Xenopus tropicalis: one gene and its partner. The main gene of each other region encodes a partner of the protein of the gene in region 2 in a complex. Links are inferred from orthologs where the notes say so. Each region holds a gene or a part of one and is shown on either strand. Other genes may lie near its edges.

Region 1 (11,673 bases), on a different chromosome or scaffold from region 2:
TGACCTGGCCTGCCTCTGAGCATTGCTCCGATCATTTTTGTACCATGGAGATCGGTCAGTTAGTCAATGGGGCAGGCTAGAAAATTTAGGTCAGATAACAATAAAATCTGCACATATATTGTGTATATGGCAATACTCTTAGGGGACCTATAATGCATTTCCAGGAAGTCACTTTCATACGATTGGTGTCTGCCAACTATTTCATGTCCACAGCATCCTCTGATTTGTTATTTTTAGGGCTTTATCCTACAATTTCAGTCTGAATGTTAGTTTTAGATCACTGCATTTACACGTATGATTGATATCCAAACATTTGTCGGAAGAAGACTAAACTCTGAATGTGTATGGCCACCTTTAGAGTAATGGATGTGTTGCACCATACAGTCGTACAGGCACAGCACATAGCTTTAAATAAGGTTGTGTTAACCAAGGTCAGCATAGAGAAGGGGCACTGTGCAAGCAAATATCCTATTTAAGGATAAAAGAAAGCTCATATATAACATGTCAATCTTGCAAAGTAACAAACTCATTAAAAGTTCCTGCATACCAGTGCGCAGTGTATGCGCTACAAATGAGGATGTTTGTGTAACAGTTAATCTCTTGTACAAATACCTCCTGTAATGTCTAACACGTTTTATTCAGTTGTTTCTAGCAGAACATCCTGTACTCCATTCAATAGTACATCAGTAAATAAAGTTCATTACCTAAATATTTTAGCTTTTTTTCCAATTACAACAAAGTGCAGGTAGAAAGTCTATTGTAAACTGTCTCCAAATATTTATACTAATAGCATATCCAAGCGCAGGGGCCATTATCTAATTTCATTAAACATTCACGTGGGAGAGAACAGTGGGGCTCTGCTGGCTACAGAAAAAGCAAATCAATAATAGGCTGCCATGGGTTACTGCCCAGGTGCAAACTTGCCTAGTGTTTAAAAATAAGCCCTTCGGGCATCATTCCTTGGGGACTAAAGGACGGAAAATATGCAAGAGCCATTCTGAGGGCTGGTGTGGTTCTTCTGGTAACAGGCGTCCAGGCCCGGGGTATCAGCCAAGTGATTGAAATCACTGGGGGGTACCTAGCAGTTTAACCCCCCTCCCCTTCCTTTGTGATCGAGACTTTCCTTCTCCTTTAAAACTAATCTTTCAGGTTAACCTTTAGTATGTTATAGAATGGCCAATTCTAAGCACTTTTTTAACTGGTTTTAATTATTTATGTCTATGAAGATTCTCATTCATCCAGGTTATGATATACAGTATCTAGTAGAATTAAGTCTAAAAAAACTAGACTGTTCTGAGTTTTTTTTTTTCATTATTTAGTTTTTTAATTATTTGCCTTATTCTTCGAACACTTTGCAGCCAAAAAACTATTGATCCTTAAGGTTACAGTTTATTTGGCATTGTTACCTTTTATTACTTATTTTTCCATTCAAGTCCTCTCCTATTCATATGTGTTTCATTCAAACCACACCCTGGTTGCTAAGGTAATTTGGATCCTAGCAACCAAATAGCTGCTAACATTCCAAACAGGAAACCAGTTTCAAATTGTCTCAGAACATTAGTCAACATCATAATGAAAATTAACTCAAAGGTAAATAAAGCCTTTAAAAAAAGGGTCACAACAGCCATGAGTACAGGGTGCCTGTATGAAGAGTAGGAAAATTATCAAACCCCTCCCCCCCAAAAAAAAAAAAATAAGACTGTAGGGAAAGATACAGTATTGTTCTAGTGACCTGTATGAAGTGTAACTGCCTATAAAATTTAAGGGAGCAGTTCTGTTTTTGTGTATACATATCTCCCTAGAAGGTAGTACTCTCAGGACTTAAAAAAAAGATGGTGAATATTTTTTATATGCTTGCTTTGTACTCCTTAATCACCATTTGCCCCTCGAGCTGTTCCTGCAATACTGCAATGACTGAAAAACAGCATTACTTTATTATAGTGTCCAGTCTGGCGGAATATTCTGGCACAGGATTCCCCCAATAGCAGACACAACTGGTAACTAGTGAATGGCACTATTTGTATCTAAGCTGCTCCCATAATACTGGGCATCAAATTCACAGCTAAACAGTGGGAAACCCCAGTACAATTCAGGATATTTCTGATACAAACCTAAATGTTATATTTGCATTTTTTTTTATTATAAAAAAACATTAGTTTCTTGTATAATGAAAACAAAACTGAATTTCATGACTGTTGTTTATTTTACAGCAGTACAGATCATCATAAACCAAAATGTTTATCAAACTTTATGAAAAAGTGTTTTTCTTTTCAAAATGTATTTAGCAATGCAACTTCATCTTAAGTCTCAAACATAAATGTATAGACCTTGATCTTCTGAAGTCCAAAATGCTGCGCTCTTAATGCAAAGAACATAATATAATTAAAAATGAAAAGTAAATTAAAAAAAACACAGGTCACATCCTCCTCTTCTGAGTGCTAATATACAAAACTGCAAAGAGAAAAAAAAAATTCACATAAACAATCACTTCCATGTCTTGTTTTTCTGCAATTCTATCAATTCAGCCACAAATACAGTTAAGACCTAAAGGTTAAATACACCTATGCTAAAGATGTTTTAACTAAATACTAGCAAAGTCATCTTTACCATAGGTGTATGTCAACTTAAGGATTCAACTGTAGGTGGGACATTTATATAAAGGTATGTATTTTGTGTGGTATAGAATGTTTTTAAACTATGTCTATAATACAAATTTTATTCGTAGATGTCTAATACAGTCTGCATTCCAGTTAGAGGAAAAAACAGTATTGCACAAGAAATATCCACTTGTAAGTGCTATGATGCCCGAACCAGAGTTCCTGGTGAGGGAAGCCATCTTGGGGCCCATGTATACCCATGATGAGAAAACACCCTTTATATCATTAATAGGATAACTTTCTTAACGTAAATTAAAATTCGGAAATAATCATGTTACTTTTCACTCTGCCCCTCTCAGCAACCTCTTTTCTTTATGCAGAAGTCAGAGAAGGCAGTTAGGTCTAACACCTTTTTTTTTGGGGGGGGGGGGGGGGCCTCTTTACTAGCAGACGTGTGTTACTTTTGGAAGAGTCAGCTTGAATACCTCTTCTAAGGAAAGGGTGCAACCACCCCAAAGAACATATTAGACCTGTCAATCAAAACCTGACTCCACCTACTGCATGAAGAGAGAATAAAGAAAGGCAGGTGATGAGTGGGGGAGTGAAGAGTAACTTGGTTATTTCACAAACATGACAATTTTTACATGATTATATTTAGAAAGTTTTGTTATTTCAGATAGATACATCTTATATTGAAAATGTATTTTCCATACACTACAAACACTGGCTGACAAAGTATCAATACTATGCAGTGTATAGAGTTCTAGTCATTATCTTTCAGGTTAACAAAGCACTGGATTTCAACAGGAAGCCAGCAGTAGCTTCCTGATCTGCAGAAAAGGGATGGATGAGTGAAAATGTAATCTGTTCCTCTATGATTAAGGGTGAAGACACACTGAGCTACTAGTAGCAGTTACAAAAATAGACAATACTGATCATTTACAGATAATTGTCTCTACGTATGTTTTAGCAAAGGAAATTCTCAGTATTGTCTATGGCAGGGTATATTTTGGCGTTAAGTAGCCATGACAAGTAGCTGCTACTAAGTAGCTTTGTGTGTCTTCACCCTTAAGGTGTTCATCTGCCAGGGTTTTTTTTTAGCTAGTGAAGTAGCACCTTAAGCTACAACTGCTGTTTCTGATTGACTACCAGGGTCCACCTGAAATAAATAATCACAAAAAATGCAATACAATACAGACAATACAGCATTTTCAAATCAAGAACTGCCAGAACCTGTGCTACCAGCAAGTTTGCCTTACAGCCAATGAGACACAGCAGGCCAGGTTTCAGCAAAAAAATACCCAAGTACATATTAAAGTTAGAATTAAACTCCAAACTGTAAACTCTATAGAGTATAAAAGCAAAGAATTGTTTGACTTAAAGCTATAACCTTTTTAGGTCATAAAACTATTAAATAAGTGAAAAGGTGTTCCATTTTATGTGTTTATATTAGACCTTACTAAACCAAACACACAACAAGCCAGTATTTTTACTGTACTATTCTTATGCTGCTTTCCCAGAGATCGCATCTAAGAAAGCATTAGGGAGTACTGGACACAAAATGCAAATCTGTGAGATGCAGGCTTCATATGTGTATAATAAATATCCAGCAATCTTTTTAAATATAAAAAAGTAGGAACGGTTACTTAACAGCCCAATAACAAGTATTTGTCCTTGGGATTTGAGGGTCACAAACAAAATTGAAGGTTATTCTGGTTGATTTTACAGCTATCAAAGGGAATACAAGTCTTTAAATTAAAAGGTGCAACTAAGGAATAACAGGTTTACTGGGTGCTACTGCGTGTACAGCAGTTTTATTACACTGAAGAAATGCCTGGCCAGTTACAGAGTTTCTTTCAGGGTTCAATAGCAATGTTCCACATCACACTTTTTACTGAGCAATTACATTTAAAACATTTTTTTATATATTTAAAAAGCAGGACTCAAATTCTTTTGAACCACCATTATTACCATTATTTCCTCGGATAAATGCATCCCCATACTTGTTCTTCAGCTGTCCATTCACATACTCTTCTGTTTGTTCCAAAGCAATATTCATGTAACCATCTAAACATGCCAGAACACCTATATGTGGTGTAGATAAAAAGAAAAATACAAAAAACAATATAATCAGATAGATATCAGTAGTAAATATAGATGGAAAAGCACATAACTGTTGCAAAGACCTCTGGATATTTTCCTTGATTTGCTTTTCTTAGATAATTAGCCTATAACAATAGCCTTTTTAAAGGGTAACTAAAGGCCCCAATGAACACATGTATGGTTAATGCATTTGGCAATGTTACCAAACAAAAAGCAAGTTAACTGGCACCTGGAAAAGTAAAAGGGCAGCAGTTCTGGGTATAAATTTGTTGCACATGGCTGGCAAAAGAGCTCTACCTATTAATACTAAATAAAGAGGCCAATGATAATTAAGTTCTTGCGCCCATTTAGGAAGAATACGACCCAAACGTAACCCTGATTTGCATATTTAAATTTAAGCAGCATCTGTGGGAAAATGTATTGCTTTGGAATGTGCAAACTTTGAAGTGAGGGAAAATACGTATTATAACATGGACATGAAACAGAGCCAGAATGAATTTGTAAAAATACATTTTTCATAATCCTCATTCCAAATGTTGATAAAAGATAGATATAAAAGGAATTCAGGTTGCCTTTTACTTTAAGCTTTACCTCGATAATCGACTCCAGAGTTGAGCTTTACAACCACTGGTCTTCCAATAATCTGCTTTAAGAAGTCACTCGGTGTTTGTTTGCGCAGGCTCATTCTAATTCCCTTTCACTGTAAAGAAAGGTTTCAAGACAAAATAATTCTCTTATTGTTATATAGTGCCAACATATTCCTCAGTGCTTTACAGATATTATATATTATTCACATTTTCAGACCAGCATTTTTATATCAGTTGCAGTTGGTCATTATTGTCAGTTTGATGATTTAACAGCACAGATTAGTGCATTAGAACTGGCAAATCTGCACTATGATATGGTATACAAATAGACTGCCGCTTTGGTCCAGAATTCACAGCAAACATTGTGGAGTATAAGTCCTATTTTAAAGAATATAAACTCTACAAACACTAAACTCTAAAAGAAGCAGGCTAGAAATGTTAAACTTTAGTTTTCTATTAAACTATTCCACCAAATTTAACCAACAGCAATGACAATCCATTCGCCTGCAGTTGGTTAGAAATATCTTCGTCTTAACTAGCCTTTAAAAGGAAAGCCAGGAAAGCACTATAAGAGATGTGTTCTAAAAAATCAGAAGACAAAGCAGTTAAAACAGGGTTAAATCACAGCTAACTGGAGGCTCTGTATTCCTCAGTGTCTACAGCAGAATAAGGAGTGGGCACTATTGATGTGCGGGCTGGCCCAATACCTGCAGGTCAGGCCGACCTTGGCACATCACCTGCGGGTCGCGGGTGGGCTTCGGGTTGAGTGCTTCCGGTCAGCCTCCATGACCGAGACCTAACAATGCTGATATTCCGATTCCAGCTTGGGAATTTATAGGTGCGCGCCCGACATGCCCCACCCCTTCGTGATGTCATTGCGGGGAGGGTCGGGAGTAGGTCTATAAATAAAGGGAAGAAGCTGGGTCGGGTAGGGTTGGGAGCAGGCGGGTTAAGATTGGGTATTTCTGTGTTGGTAAAAGTTTCATGTTTGCTTCAGTAAGACTATATAGTTTATATAAATAAGCTGTTGTGTAGCCATGGGGGCAGCCATTCAAGCTAGAAAAAAGGAGAAAAGGCACAGGTTACATAACAGATGCACGCTTTAGAATGGTACAATGGTAATCTACACAATTTATCTGTTATCTGCTATGTAACCTGTGTCTTTTCTTCTTATTTTCAATTTGTACAGCTACCCCCATGGTTACACAGCAGCTTTGTTTATATAAACTATATTCGGGTTTCTGAAGGAAACACACAATGTTTACCAGTGTAGGGCACTAGTACATTATATTTTAATTACTTTTATATGCTTTCATTTTTTGTGTTACTGTTCCGAGGATTTATGTACCGACTCCACAGTCCTCAAATTCCCTGATATATTATTGTATTTATCAAAGGTTTTTATTCAGTGTCTCTTATCATTTCTAAGAAATACTGTGCTTCCTCAGCCTAAACGTTTCCTACTACAGGTATAGGACCAGTTATCCAGAATGCTAGCGACCAAGGGTATTCCGGATAAGGGGTCTTTCTGTAACGTGGATCTTCATACCTTAAGTCTACTTAAAAAAACAATAAAACATTAATTAAACCCAATAGGATTGTTTTGTATCCAATAAGGATTAATTATATCTTAGTTGGGATCAAATACAAGGTACTGTTTTATTATTACAGAGAAAAAGGGAATCAATTTAAAAAATCTGAATTATTTGATTAAAATGGAGTCTATGGGAGAGGGGCTTTCCGTAATTCGGAGCTTTCTGGATAATGGGTCTCCGGATAAAGGATCCCATACCTGTACAAACATATCCACCATGGTGTCTGTCAGCAGTCTGATACAAATGTGACTCATGCTGGTATCAGCCAATTAGAGCAGAGGAAATCTGTCAGTGACAGCCTCAAGCATGTTGGTTACTGCCAGAATAAAATATTAAGTGGAAAAGCTCACTGATAACATAGATATATTAGGGCTTACATACATTAGGGCTAGAGCCCAACACTGACACACTGTAGCTGGGCTTAAACTTACAAATGATTCTAAATCTATAAGTAAGAAGCTCCATCCCTCTGATGTAGCAGGGAGATCTATACAGCCCCTGTGAGAGGAGCTCTCATGTACTTGGCACTGAGCCCCTCTAGTACAGCCTGCTGGTAATCAGTATATTGCTCAGGAATTACAATACCCACCTGCCGGGAGCAATACAAATATGTATCAAGAAAAGGGTGCCTGTAGCAAATCTACTTCGAAACATTATAGCTGAACAATACATAATACAATCCCAATGTAATGCAGCGGCCACACACCTGGGATGAACTACAACTCCCAGAATTCGCTTCGCATAGACACCGCGGGAGCCACACATTTAGGTTAATTATTGTTGTTACCTACTTTTCTCTGAACGTAATGAGCACTAACCATACTAGATGGTGTGCATCAATGCAAATACTACAGGCGGCCATAAGCCACCCTGTAATTCTCACCCTGTATCCCGTGCGATGCCTTTTCTCCCGCCTCTCTCCTTCCTACCCCTTTTTACGGTGTCCGTCTCAGGACAATCCAAAAACAAGCGAAAGCCGTGTGCGCCGTACGGAAGTAAATCGGGTTCCTGAATGAGGCACCGCCTACCGGGGGTCAAAAGGGGACGATGACGTTAACACGGGAAATGATGCGTCCAATCAGGGCGAGAGGCGGCGCTGTGGCTCCTCTGCACCTCTTGTATGTAGTAATGGCTGGGATATCCTGTATGTTTCATGGCTTTGAATCCCTGCACCATGCCATTATAAGTCATTCTAGTAAAGAAACCTCGCCTCCAACTTTAAAAACGTGTTCTGATTCAGCATTACTCTTACTTGCTAAACGTAATACATTTCTTTGAGTTGACGCAAATGTATACGTATTTTTATTTTACATATATTTATTTTTGTATCTATTTTATACAGGCACATGCACTTTACTTATGGTAAGCTACTTTGATTTTCTGAAACTTCCCATATAATCCTTTCTGATTGAAGGGTCAGTTTACTTTAATCAGCCACACAAAATGTCACTAGCATCAAAAATGATTACTAATACTGATAAGCTGTGTGTGGCATGACATTATTCAATTGGAGCCTGGTATTATTCATCTGAAATCTTTACTGATTCATTACCTGCTGTACACCATGTATTTGCAAATATCCTTATTAAAGTGGTGAATGTCATGGCACCTAATGGTCCCTGTACACGGGCCAATTCTAGCAGCTAATCAGCCCGTGTATGGGCACTACCGATGGGCCTGCCCGACCAATATCTGGCCTGAAATTGGGCCAGATATCGATCGGGCAGGTTAAAAAATCTAGTTGGATCGGGGACCGTATCAGCTCGTTGATGCGGTCCCTGGAACGACTTCACCTATACCCGTCTTTATAATGCGATCGTTTGGCCCCAGGGAATTAGCCTGGATTCTCCCCATATCGCCCACACGTAGGTGGGGGATATTGGGAGAAGATCTGCTCGCTTGGCGACATCACCAAGCGAGCGGATCTGAAGGTGTGTGGGCACCTTAAGAAATATATGTGCAGTCACCAAGAGGCCAGTGACTGACACCAAATTGGAAATCCTGCAAATTGTTTATAAGCATGGTGTGGGGGAAGCTCACTCACTCCTCTAAATTGTCACTTTATACCTGTCTTTATTGCTGTTTAGGTCTTCTCTGCTTATAACTATAAACAATTATACAATATTTTTTTTTTTTTGTTTTCATTCATTTGGTAATTGCTGGGTAACTAGCTTTCACATCCAGAACTTGAATCTGCCCTGCAACTGCCATGAACCCACCCATGCAAACATAGGGGATGAGGAGACGCTCTGTGAGCGTAACTGTTTAAGATTCCTCGGAAGGAATTAAAATGTACAAAAATGAAAATAACTAATATGATATGCAAATAAATGAATTAATTAATTTAATAGCTAGCCAAATAAGCAAAGAATAAGCGAACTTGGCAGCTAAATAAATAATCTGCTCACCAACTTGTATTTAGAAATATGAAAGTAAGGTAAATACCAAGTAATCAATTTGACTCGGGTGTTCAAACCCCGAGTCAATCGCTTAAGGTTCAAATATTCAAATGTTCATCTCAGGTGATTCAGAAACAGAGGAATCAAAATGCTCACCAAAGTCCCATAATGGTCCGGGTGCTCAAAGCCCCGAACCCGCAGCTGAAGGGAGATATCTCCAAATCTAGAAATAGGACGTCAAGCACTCCGGACTCAAAAGGATCTGCTAAAACTCGAACTTTATTCCATCATGTTTAAAAGCTTTTAAACATGATGGAATAAAGTTCGAGTTTTAGCAGATCCTTTTGAGTCCGGAGTGCTTGACACCCATGCAAACATGTCAACTCACCTGCATTTTTGGGAAATCACCCTGATTTAAACTGGTTACCAGCAGAAATAGCCCAGTCACCCGCTGTAAAAAATATGCACTTAAATCTCCGCTTAACTTCATTTCATATAAAATAAGCACCATATTTGTTTTGTGTTGTGGAGTATATACCAATGAAGGAACTTGTATTCATATGTTTAATGCGTCATGACCAGCGACAATTCTGGGGCTGCTGCCTAGTGATGTGCAGGTCGAGAACATTTTTTCTGACCCCATCCTGATAAAGACCTGTGCCTGCCCCGCAATGACATCACCAAAGGGTGGGGCGGGTGCTATAAATTAAGAAGCCAGAAGACACAGGCCGGCAGGTTATGGAGCGAGCCGAAGCACTCAACCAGAACCCGCATGTGATGTACCCAACCTGCCCAACCCGCGAGTATCCAGCCAGCCCACACATCACTACTGCTACCGCCTGAGGCAGCACCCGCTCCGTGCTTATGACTTTAGCATCAGAGCGGGTCCAAAGGGGGCCTCATCACTACTGCAGAGAGCACTATTGCACTCTCAGCATTAAAAAATGAATTTTATCTTTTTCTGCCCCTGGTAACTGGCCGCACCCTGCCATCTGGGGCAAGGTTCTCACCATGCCTCATGGTAGGAGCGGCCCTGGTCATGACTTGAGAGAAACTAAAGAAAGTATGTTATCTTAACTCATGTTAACTGATTTAATGCATTTAACCTTTTCAAGAGCATACAATACCACCATTGTTCACATGAGGCCTAAGAAAAAACTCCTTAATTAGATAAGTTGCTGTGATGCAATTTTCTGTGTTAAATGGGCTAAGTTAAACAAGTGTAGTTATTCTGTGTTAAACACACAAACCAAAGTGGTTTCATCTGTATATATAACTGGTACAACATTCCTCTTGCAAGGTGTTCAGGAAGGAATTGTATGTGAAATTGTCACTGTTTGTATTCAACTATTTGTTAGGTGGTATAGTGTTATACATGGAACTTGCCTTGGGATACTATACATGCAAGCTGGTCTAATGATGAGCAACTTCAATATTGTGCTCCCAAGGATACACATTATAGAAACATATGAGATTGTGCCTTACCTCATAGATATGTCAACTCATTTTGCAAGTATGGCCATATTTTAAAGGGAACCTGTCACTCAGGCATAAAAAGCTGTATAATAAAAGTTCTTTTTAAATTAAACATGAAACCCAAATTCTTTTTTTTTATTAACACACACATACCCATTATAAAGGCATTTAAAAATCCCAGATGTCAATAATATATTGCCAGCTGTGCCTCTATGCCCTAGGTATAGAGGCAGGGCAGACAGTTACATTCACTTTACATTCAGCATTTTCTAGATGTAACTGCACTCCTCAAATCCCCCACCCTTCTTACCATCTAATTGTGCAGCCAGTGCATGGGCATGGGTATCAGATCTGGCACATAAACAAGATTATGGTATTATACAAAACTTGCCTTCCACAAAATGGCACCTACCTGTTTTCTGTGAATTCCAAAACTGAAGGAAACATTATTCTAGTATTTATATAGTGTAAGTGAAGTTTATTGTGCTTGACAAACACAATAGAAAAGAAATTGGAGTTATTTTTTATGGTGACAGGTCCATTTTAACCCCCCTCACCTTCAGTAGGAGCCCAGTCACCCGCTGTCAGTAATTTGCATCCAAATTCCAATTTACTATCATCATGAAATGAAGTGTCACATGAATGGGGTATATCTGTGCAAACAGAGTTGAACATGGGTACCTATGTTACCTGACTCAAGAGCCCACCATCCAGCCACTGCCACTTCCCTCTCCATCCCCAGCCATTGACAGTCCTGCGGCTGGCTTGTGGGCTGGTGGCAGGGCCCAACAGGGTCAGGGCCCACAAGCATTTTTGCCGGTGGGCCAGTCGGACCCAGTGTACAAATAACTTAAGAACAGTAAAATATTGTAATTAATATAATAAACTATATAGGTCTGCTCATTAACTACAAGTC
Region 2 (11,492 bases):
TTGCTCGGGAGTCACCTATTATCTGTACCTATTATCTGTACCTATTATCTGTACCTATTATCTGTACCTATTATCTGTACTAGAATGAAAGCAGCTGTTAAACTACGATTAGTAGACTACAAACCAGTATAGGTAGTAAATATAAAAGAGCTACTGCTGTTAAGGATGTGAAATACACAGGTGTTTCAACTGTTTTGCAATTCAGACATGCACCACGAAAGCTATTAAAAAGTGACAAATAATACATTCTAGTGTCAATCCTGTGAGAGGGTTAAAGTGTTATATACAGAAAGAAGCCATTGCATTCCTCACCTGGCAGCCCTTCTTGTGGTGGAAGCCCACCACCACTATGTGCAGTACAGGTCCCCCTGGCACCCTGTTGCCGCCCCCAGCAGCCTCCTCCGCAGCCTGGGCATCCATGCGTGGGGTTAGTGCCGGAGATGTCAGGAAACGCTCTGCTGTGCCCCCCGCTTGCTTGCCGTTCCTGCGGAGGCTGTGAGGATTGTCAGCACAGAACTCCCCTGGAACAAGTCGCGGACATACTATAATCCGGGTCCAGACAGCAAAGGAATACCGCAGCGGGGGTATGCAACGCCTGGGGATAGCCTCTCAGTTTAAAAGTCAACTCCCCTAGCGCTTTCTTCCCAGCATTCACTCTTATCTGGTTCCCTTATCTTTTCCGCGTCCAGCCTCTCCCTTTGTTGCTGATTTCCCTGCCAGGATCTCCTCCTTCTCCTAAGGCAGATGCTCACTCCCTTCCCCACTCTCTTTTGCTTCCTACCCAGTGTCTCAGGCTCCTCTCTGCAGTCAGATGTCACTGTCAGCCCCGGCGTGACATCACCGCCATGGCTACCTAGCCTAACCCACTCGAACAACAAGCGTGACTCGTCATCGCCAAGTAGTGTGCTGATTGGCTGTTGTGTAGGATTGGAAAGCAGAGCTATGGCAGATTGAGGTCATGGTTTAGCTCCAGAAGATGCCTGGAACTGGAAGAGCTGGATCCGTGCGGCTATGCACTATAAGGAACCAATCAACACGATATTATATTTTTAACAGTACTGTTAAACCGCGTTTGGGCAAAGTAGCATTTTGGCTAGAAAAAGCTGCTCAGTAAAGGTCCAGTAAAGTTACAACATATATTAAATCCTATAATTTTTTATTTGCAGTGTATAAGCTGGGTTAAAGGAGAAGGAAAGTCATTTTGGCATGTTACTGCCAATAGATTTTCCCAATTAGTGCCACCTATAATGCTATATTTATTCTACAGAAAACCTAGAAGCTGTCTCTGTTTGTTTAAGATTGCAGCTGCCATTTTAGCTTGGTCTTTATAGCTTCCTGCTTGCAATTTAGCCTATAGCTTAGATCAGGGTTCCCCAACCGCCGGGCCGCGGACGGCATGGCAGTGGGCCGCAGCGCACCCCCCCAGCACATCGCATGTATTACGCGCCTGAAGTTCGCGCCATGGCCCGCCCCCTCTGCAAAAATATTTTTGCCTCCTACCGGGCCATGGTACTAAAAAGTTTGGGGACCCCTGGCTTAGATTACACATTCCTAAGGGAGGGAGGAGGAACTTTTTGGCATTCTTATGGGAGGGGGGAGCAGAAGAGGGGACAGATGAGAGAACTGCACAGACTCTGGCCCCAGGAATGAAGGATTGTTCTGAGAGAGAAAGTCAGATACCCTAAGAACACATTTACAAAAAAGAGACAAAACCCTGTGTTCTTTTGATAGACCAGACTAAAATGGCAGCTTCTATCATAAACAATGGGAGGGAGCTTCCAGGGCTGTTTACTCAGGTATGGTAAAGTTTTCTGCAGAATAAATATAGTGTTCTAGCTTGCACTAATGTGGCTAATCTATTGGCAGTAAAATGCCAAAATGACTTTCCTTCTCCTTTAAGGAACAACCACTGTTCCAGCCTATTTAAAAACCTGCACACTTTAGAGCATTTTCCACACCCACTACAGTCACCAAACCAAAAGTAGTGTTTAGTTAAAACAAGACTTAGACAATTATTCAGGAATATACAAGACAAGGTGGTAAGTCTCTAACTAATATAACCTGTTTTCTTGTAAATTTTTTTTTTACATAATAGATCTGTTGTGTGTCCCTTAAGTAATTCAAGATATTCAGAACCAAATGTTGTATATACAAATTTAAAAAGGACTGTATACACCCTTTATCATCATTAGTTCAAACACACCTCAGAGAACTCTAAAGGTGGCCATACATGTAAAGATCTGCTCGCCTGGTGAGGTCGCCAAGTGAGCGGATCTTCTCCTGATATCCCACCTACGGGTGGGCGATATCAGGGGAATTATAACGACTGGAATAGGTGCAGTCGGTTCGGGGACAATTTCTAGGACAGATATCGGTCGTGCAGGCCAGTCGTTGTTAACCCTACACGGGCTGATAAGTTGCCGTATCGGTCCAAGGGACTGATATCTGTAGCTACAATCGGCCCGTGTATGGCCACCTTAAGAGCTAAATCCTACCAGTGCTTTTTATCAGATTTTGTGGGTCATATTTTATCTGATCTTGTCATGCAACGCCACACAATGCAATGCAACAGCACAAGATTTTTTAGGACCCTACAAAATCTAATCTGCATAGGCTGTAATTTTAATGTCAGATCAGATAAAGTTGGATTTTTATTTTGTTCATGCACTTACATCTGACAGTCAATGTATTACATTGAGAGAAAAAGAAGTCTTTCCAACACCATCAGTTTTTATCCTTGTGGCTGCAGGAGCAGCATGCAGCATTCCCTTCCGACAGACGTGGTGTTGGATGGCAAAAGTTACTACCTCACGTTTTTGTATCAGTCATTATATTTTGACCCACGTGATTACCAATCCACAGGTAAGCCCTTGACATAATTATTTGCTCTTTATCTCAAAGCTTAAAAAAGGCAGCAGTTGAGAAAAACTAAATGAAGGCTTAGGTAAACAGAAGGTTTCTAAGTGATCTTAGCAGGAAGTTGGGAACTGGTTCTGGAAATTTCAGAATGTTAGGTTTCAAAACATTGAGTTTTAGTAAGCAAATGACACACTGTCACTCTACATGCAGAAATCTTGAAATTAGGTAGAAGTTTTAATGACAGTTACAAAAACTAAACTTTTTTGTAGCAGCAGAGACTTTGAATGAATCATGCTGAATTTTTAAAGTTTAAATACAAGTAGTTAAAAAAAAGGTGACTAATATCAATCATCTATGGCCCTCAACACTATGCTCATGTAATGTGCAGGAACCAAGCAAACTGTGCAGTTGTTCAACACCTTGGAGGGCAGGCAAGCAGCATAATGCCTCTAAAGTACAGTATCAAGGGGTGGCTTACAAATTCTTGTCCTCTAAGATAAAACAATATTTATGAGTTTTGTAATTGAACACTACCCTACAAAAAATTAAAACAGAAATATATAATTTTCTGGATAAAGTATATCCCCTATAAATGCTAATGTTTAGGTACAGAAGTGACTGCAATCCTTTCCCCTTTTAGTTAAACAAAACACAGGCCAGAGGTACTTTCATGCCTCCTAAGAGCTGATTCAAGCTGAGCACCTGCTACATACAAAAACATCTGAAAAAGTTCTATACTTCGAATGTACTCGTCTAAGTTGGCACCTGGGCCCCCGTAATTTGTTCTGTATTGATCGGGGCTCCTATTAATTTACCTAAACGTGAGTGGTTGAAGTGGATGGTTAATATGCTGTACAGAGTCCAGAGCTGCTGGTTATTCTACATCTGACAAAATACCCGGCCAATTAGCAATCGCAATGAAGCCAAGCCGATTTTTTGAACATTCATTATTCTGGCGCAACAACAACTTTTGCAATCATTGCTTTGAAACATTCTTCTAGCCACGCCCACGTCCCCTGTTCGCTCTCTTCCGCCATATAAGGCCTTTTTCTGCTCGTCTGTTGATTAATCTTCCCTAACCAGGAAGTTTTTAGCGCTTGCGCTCGACTGCATAATGAGATCGGCAATCGATTGCTCTAGGTAGGTGACAGCGGGAGATTACGAAAACAGGAGGAAATCCGAAGTAAGGAATATCAAAGATGGCGGCTACCGTGACTCCCAATCCGTCGCAGCTTCTCCCGCTCGGTAAGGACTCTAGGAAATATGTGACTAGATCTATTCCAGTTCGAGACCTTTAGTGTGCAGTTACTAATTGGCTTTTATCTTCAATGGCGCTGTCCTATTTCATGCGACATGCTTTCTTTGAACTCATATTTGTTGTAGAATTCTGATATGTATGTGGCTTACTAGGGTTGTGAAGTACAGATGTAGTGTACCTGGAGTTAGCACTGTTGCTTGGGTTAAACAGCACCTGCTAGGTGACGTGCTTTAGGTTATCGGGCAAATGATGGAGCCGCATGGCAGCCCTGCGTTAGACAATTTATATTTTATACTGAACCTTTTAATTGTAAGCAGATAAAAAAAGAACAGAATTATTTTCTAGTTGATTTTTAGTTTACCTAGGAAAACTGTACATCATTCTTTTCTTGAGAACCTGAGCTCTAAATCTGAGTTTTTGTGTATTTCCACTTCTGGAACAAGATTTAGAGCTCTAAAGGCAAATAAAAGAAAAAAAAAAAAATATGATTATAGGGATTTATACCAGAAAAATCTTTTATTTTATGGATAAAATTTCAACTTATTCAGAAAGCCTAATATCTCTTGAATGTGCCTATACTAGGTATGTATAATTTTATGGAGATGTCTGACTTCTATAGATCGAAAACTCCCAGCAGTAAGTTATTGAAAAAAGTGTTACAGCAGAATAGGGCATACTTTAGATTCCATAGCCAAAAATCCTGAAACATTAGGTTTACCCCAGGATACCATTTATATTTTTTAAAAGTGCACATTCAACCAAATCCGAAATAGATAACCGTGTCTTTCTACTCTAAATGACTCCAAGGGGCTGATTTACTAATCCACGAACGGTCCGAAAGTGTCCGAATGCGTTTTTTTCGTAATGGTCTGTATTTTGCGATTTTTTTCGTAAATTGTCGCGACTTTTTCGTAGCCGTTACGACTGTTTCGCAAATTGTTGTGACTTTTTCGTTGCGTTACGACTTGCGCGAATTGTCACAACTTTTTCGTAGCCTTCGCGCCGAGTACGAAAGTTTCGGATTCATTCAAGCTTCAGTATCGTGACTTTTCTTGGGCCAGGTTGGAGCTGCAGAGTCCTATGGGAGGCTTCCAAAATCATGCTAAGTCTGAAAGTTTTGCCCGCAGTTTACGAGCGCTCAATACGAAAAAGTCGCGACAAGATACGAGCAAATCGTAACGGCTACGAAAAAGTCATGACAATTTGCGCAAGTCGTAACGGCTACGAAAAAGTTGCGACAATTTACGAAAAAGTCGTAACGGCGACGAAAAAATCGCAAAAAATACGAAAAAGTTGCAAAATGTTCGTTTTCCAATCGGAATTTTTCCCATTTGGATTCGTGGGTTAGTAAATCAGCCCCCAAGTGTCCGAGATGAAATAGAAATGTTCATCTCTGATACTGGCTGCTGCAATAGAAGCACCCGGTATGTGTATTATGTACCATAAGACGTCCTAACAATACGGAGCCCCTCGAAAACCGTATATTTTCCGAAAGTACATATTTTTATTAAGGCAAAAATGGCTAAATACATCTTTCTACTGCAAACTACCAAACAAAACTATGCTTTTTTTCTTTTTTTTTTTTTTTATTCCTGAAGGTTTAAATCAGTGGTTTTCAGACTTAGGTTTAGTCGCCCTCTTTCCTTTCAGTTATGCAGCTTAAGATCCAAGTACATTCAAATACATTTTTATACTAAAATGTGCTTTTAGTCTGAAGTTCAAAAAATATTTGACAGGCGATAAGTATTTACCACCACAATTTAGAAACCTTTGATTGTTCAAGTTTTACTTTCAAACCTAATTAATATATACACAATGTAAAATTATTTTTTGTATTTTAACATGTATTTTTACTTTATTTTTGCCTTATTTTAAAGTGTATTCTTAATTTTTTTTTTATTTCTGATCTTGCAGAGCTTGTGGACAAGTGCATAGGATCTCGCATTCATATTGTTATGAAGAGTGATAAAGAAATTGTTGGAACACTTCTTGGCTTTGATGATTTTGTCAGTATCCTTTGTCTGCTTACGCTTAGTTTTTTGTTTATTGCTTCAGTTATACTAATTTAGAATGTACCAAAATAAAATACCGATTTACCATCAGCAATAGACTCCATTCAGCATTCTAGATCAGCGTTTTTCAACCACTGTTTGTGCCGCGAGATGTTGCCTGGTGTGCCGTAGGCAGGGCCGCAATTTTTACTTTAAAAAAAAAATCCGGGCCCTGTCATTGGTTGCGCCCCGTGTGTACGGGTGACGTCAGTACGCACGGGGCGCAACGTTATAAAAGGGCCTGTGTGCGGTCGCGTGTAGGCAGAAGTGCAGAGGCGGCGCGCGTGAGGGGAAGATGCTGCTGAAGCCGCCGAAGAGTAAAATGCTGCTGGGCACCAATGTATTAGGGGGGGCCACGGGGCACACTGACTTATGGGGGCACTGCTGCTGGGCACCAATGTACTAGGGGGGCACTGCTGCTGGGCACCAATGTACTAGGGGGGCACTGCTGCTGGGCACCAATGTACTAGGGGGGCACTGCTGCTGGGCACCAATGTACTAGGGGGGCACTGCTGCTGGGCACCAATGTACTAGGGGGGCACTGCTGCTGGGCACCAATGTACTAGGGGGGCACTGCTGCTGGGCACCAATGTACTAGGGGGGCACTGCTGCTGGGCACCAATGTACTAGGGGGGCACTGCTGCTGGGCACCAATGTACTAGGGGGGCACTGCTCTTGGCACCAATGTACTAGGGGGGCACTGCTGCTGGGCACCAATGTACTAGGGGGGCACTGCTCTTGGCACCAATGTACTAGGGGGGCACTGCTGCTGGGCACCAGTGTACTAGGGGGGCACTGCTCTTGGCACCAGTGTACTAGGGGGGCACTGCTGCTGGGCACCAATGTACTAGGGGGGCACTGCTCTTGGCACCAATGTACTAGGGGGGCACTGCTCTTGGCACCAATGTTCTAGGGGGGCACTGCTCTTGGCACCAATGTACTAGGGGGGCACTGCTGCTGGGCACCAGTGTACTAGGGGGGCACTGCTCTTGGCACCAATGTACTAGGGGGGCACTGCTCTTGGCACCAATGTACTAGGGGGGCACTGCTGCTGGGCACCAGTGTACTAGGGGGGCACTGCTCTTGGCACCAATGTACTAGGGGGGCACTGCTCTTGGCACCAATGTACTAGGGGGGCACTGCTCTTGGCACCAATGTACTAGGGGGGCACTGCTGCTGGGCACCAGTGTACTAGGGGGGCACTGCTCTTGGCACCAGTGTACTAGGGGGGCACTGCTGCTGGGCACCAATGTACTAGGGGGGCACTGCTCTTGGCACCAATGTACTAGGGGGGCACTGCTCTTGGCACCAATGTACTAGGGGGGCACTGCTGCTGGGCACCAGTGTACTAGGGGGGCACTGCTCTTGGCACCAATGTACTAGGGGGGCACTGCTCTTGGCACCAATGTACTAGGGGGGCACTGCTCTTGGCACCAATGTACTAGGGGGGCACTGCTGCTGGGCACAGAGTTAAATTTTTTAACATTTTCTAATGGTGGTGTGCCTCGTGATTTTTTTCATGAAACAAGTGTGCCTTTGCCCAAAAAAGGTTGAAAAACACTGTTCTAGATGTTATAGTACAACATTCTTTAGTTTTCTACTATCGGCTCAACTGGGAGTTGAAGTTTTGCATTGTCAAAAGCACATACTTATGTATCAGCAGAATGGGATTAAACACTGGCTGGGACTGTGTCTTGCTCTCAGTTCCTCTGTGATTTGTGCTTTTTGCCATCTGTGCATGGGCAAATTGACCTGAGGGCCAAAGCTGGAAAGTGTACAATCAACAGCTAAGTTAGCCAGAGTACTTTATAGGCTTACTGGGGATCTTTGTCATAGATTTTAATGGCATAAAATAGCATTCTTCCGCATCTGTGCTTCTTCATAGTTTTTCCTCAAACCACATAGAACCTCATACTTTTAACCTTGATTCATTTCTTCAGACATGGTGCTAGAAGATGTTACAGAATTGTAAGTACCGTTCCGTCTGGATACAGATTTTTTTTATTCTATTTGCACTTGCTCAAGAACTTCTTTACCAAGATACAGTAATTTTTATACCAAGCAGTGCATTGTTTCATTCTTGAGATCTGTCGAATAAAAATAATATTCATTTTATTTGCATTTTACATACAGGTATGGGGCCTTTTATCCAGAATGCTCGGGACCTGGGGTTTTCTGGATAAGGGGTCTTTCGTAATTTAGATCCCCTTAACTTAAGTCTACTAAAAATCATTGAAATATTTAATAAACCCAATAGGATTGTTTTGCCTCCAATAAGGATTAATTATATCTTAGTTGGGATCAAGTACAAGGTACTGTTTTATAATAACAGAGAAGAAAGTAATCATTTTTAAAAATTAGAACGGGTTTCCTCTAAATATGGAAGTACATTTTCTAAAATATGAATCTGCATATAATAACTTGACACTAACTTTGACTAAATAAGACAAACAGTAAAGAATGATCAAATTGTGACCCCACTACTGATTTCTATCATATTGTCACTAATCTGTAAACCTGTATCACTGTATATAGTCTAGCAATTTGAGAATTGTATAAAGTAGAAGCAATGTACCCTGTGATATTAACAAGAGAAAATTCTTGAAAGATATGTAACAGAATATTTTTTTCTGTTTAAAATCAATAAAAATCATTTATATATAAAAAAAAAAAAAAATTAGAAAGGGTTTCCAGATAAGGGATCCCATACCTGTATTGTGTTTGGTGATAACAAAAGTGCTTTACTTGGTAATTAAAAACTGGTTGATATTTTTACTTTTTTAAGAAGTTACCATGTAGAACGTTTTATATAGATGTTTTTTAACGTAAATTTTTTTGCTTTTCATTTAAATTCCTGCATTGTGCTGGTTTACATGTCCATGTCTGTCGTTTTTATGTAACTGAAGTAAGTCTGGAGGCATATGTTCTCAAAGACATACTACAATTCCAGATATCGAAAGGGCTTTATTTCTAATTATTTATCATAACTGATGTATATGCATATCTGTACACCTGTTTTTGCAGCGAATAACTTTAAAGTTAAAACAACCAGATTAGAACTGAAATTCCCCTTTAAATAGACAATAAAAAAAAGATGCTGCTTCAGTCAAAATATTCATAGTAGATGCATCAACCTTTAGTGGATATCAATTGTGGTTTTCTGTTACTGTGCATGTACAGTGGTGTGAAAAACTATTTGCCTCCTTCCTGATTTCTTATTCTTCTGCATGTTTGTCACACTTAAATGTTTCTGCTCATCAAAAACCGTTAACTATTAGTCAAAGATAACATAATTGAACACAAAATGCAGTTTTTAAATGAAGGTTTACGTTATTAAGGGAGAAAAAAAGCTCCAAATCTACATGGCCCTGTGTGAAAAAGTGATTGCCCCAAGAGCGCAGAGACAACTCATCCGAGAGGCCACAAAAGACCCCAGGACAACATCTAAAGAACTGCAGGCCTCACTTGCCTCAATTAAGGTCAGTGTTCACGACTCCACCATAAGAAAGAGACTGGGCAAAAACGGCCTGCATGGCAGATTTCCAAGGCGCAAACCACTTTTAAGCAAAAAGAACATTAAGGCTCGTCTCAATTTTGCTAAAAAAACATCTCAATGATTGCCAAGACTTTTGGGAAAATACCTTGTGGACCGACGAGACAAAAGTTGAACTTTTTGGAAGGTGCGTGTCCTGTTACATCTGGCGTAAAAGTAACACAGCATTTCAGAAAAAGAACATCATACCAACAGTAAAATATGGGGGTGGTAGTGTGATGGTCTGGGGTTGTTTTGCTGCTTCAGGACCTGGAAGGCTTGCTGTGATAGATGGAACCATGAATTCTACTGTCTACCAAAAAATCCTGTAGGAGAATGTCCGGCCATCTGTTCTTCAACTCAAGCTGAAGCGATCTTGGGTGCTGCAGCAGGACAATGACCCAAAACACACCAGCAAATCCACCTCTGAATGGCTGAAGAAAAACAAAATGAAGACTTTGGAGTGGCCTAGTCAAAGTCCTGACCTGAATCCTATTGAGATGTTGTGGCATGACCTTAAAAAGGCGGTTCATGCTAGAAAACCCTCAAATAAAGCTGAATTACAACAATTCTGCAAAGATGAGTGGGCCAAAATTCCTCCAGAGCGCTGTAAAAGACTCGTTGCAAGTTATCACAAACGCTTGATTGCAGTTATTGCTGCTAAGGGTGGCCCAACCAGTTATTAGGTTCAGGGGGCAATTACTTTTTCACACAGGGCCATGTAGGTTTGTTTTTTTTTTTCTCCCTAAATAATAAAAACCCTCATATAAAAACTGCATTTTGTGTTTACTTGTGTTGTCTTTGACTAATAGTTAAATGTGTTTGATGATCAGAAACATTTTGTGTGACAAACATGCAAAAGAATAAGAAATCAGGAAGGGGGCAAATAGTTTTTCACACCACTGTATAACTGGTCAGCAGAGGAAAAAAAGAGCATATCAGTTGTTACTAATCTTTACAAATGGAATTATGCAAAGTAGAGTGCTGTAAAGAAAGATTAACTTTTCCCTCAGTCTTTATAGTCTAAGTAAAATAATACTAATGTAAAACTTATTTCATAAAACACATAATAATATCAGTCCAAAGTTGCCTATATACTGGAAGATTCACGCTGACATGATTTTGCAACTGACCTCATTTATATTCGACAGATACCCAATCAACAAGGAAGCTGTTGTAGGCCAATATATGGGTGAATAAGGGACTACGTCTACAGTTATTTTCTGCCTGTGAAAGGGCAACTTAATGTAACTGTATTGTATTTATCAATATAGCACCAAAAATATATGCAAGACACACAGGAATATTTAGAAATGAAACCATAAGAATAAATGCATAAGTACAGATTTTCAGTGCACAGCTGGAATGTGGTCCCTGCACTGAAGAGCTTACAGTCTGAGGAAGGGGAGATACACACAATGGGCAGATGAAAGATTCAGCTTGTTCATTTTACTGAAACACTGTTAATGTTCTAGAATTAAAATAATTTTGCTAAGCATGAAACAGTCATTCTTTGTTTGTGTATGTTTTAGTGAAATCACTCCAGAAGGAAGACGAATTACAAAACTTGATCAAATATTATTAAATGGAAACAACATAACTATGGTAAGCAAGTAAAAAGTATGTAATGTGGTTGCACTATGAATACAGGTACATTAACTTTTATGAAATGCAGGGTCATTTTTACGTTTTCTCTGCCGATGCATTCCATTGACCTAAATGCACATTGAGGCTAATGCCACATATGGTGGATTCTTTGTATCTACGCTTAAAAAAAAAAAAAAAAAAAAAA

Evidence for each region.
Region 1: lsm5 (region 2) and lsm6 share a complex: the UniProt entries of both Homo sapiens proteins name them as parts of the precatalytic spliceosome. The link is inferred for Xenopus tropicalis from reciprocal best matches to the Homo sapiens genes LSM5 and LSM6.

Annotation. Positions count from the first base shown.
Region 1 is NC_030677.2:58,329,573-58,341,245, forward strand, and holds lsm6 (U6 snRNA-associated Sm-like protein LSm6), read right to left. Parts: upstream 7,853-11,673; 5' UTR 7,766-7,852; exon of another isoform or gene 7,589-7,765; intron 6,182-7,588; exon of another isoform or gene 5,995-6,181; intron 5,401-5,994; 5' UTR 5,386-5,400; coding exon 5,292-5,385; intron 4,683-5,291; coding exon 4,569-4,682; intron 2,452-4,568; coding exon 2,417-2,451; 3' UTR 2,185-2,416; downstream 1-2,184. UniProt on the Homo sapiens protein: Plays a role in pre-mRNA splicing as component of the U4/U6-U5 tri-snRNP complex that is involved in spliceosome assembly, and as component of the precatalytic spliceosome (spliceosome B complex).
Region 2 is NC_030682.2:61,888,774-61,900,265, reverse strand, and holds the start of lsm5 (U6 snRNA-associated Sm-like protein LSm5), read left to right. Parts: upstream 1-3,941; 5' UTR 3,942-4,058; coding exon 4,059-4,104; intron 4,105-6,031; coding exon 6,032-6,127; intron 6,128-8,108; coding exon 8,109-8,136; intron 8,137-11,232; coding exon 11,233-11,305; intron 11,306-11,492. Other genes in the region: late secretory pathway protein AVL9 homolog, read right to left, coding at 313-420. UniProt on the Homo sapiens protein: Plays a role in pre-mRNA splicing as component of the U4/U6-U5 tri-snRNP complex that is involved in spliceosome assembly, and as component of the precatalytic spliceosome (spliceosome B complex).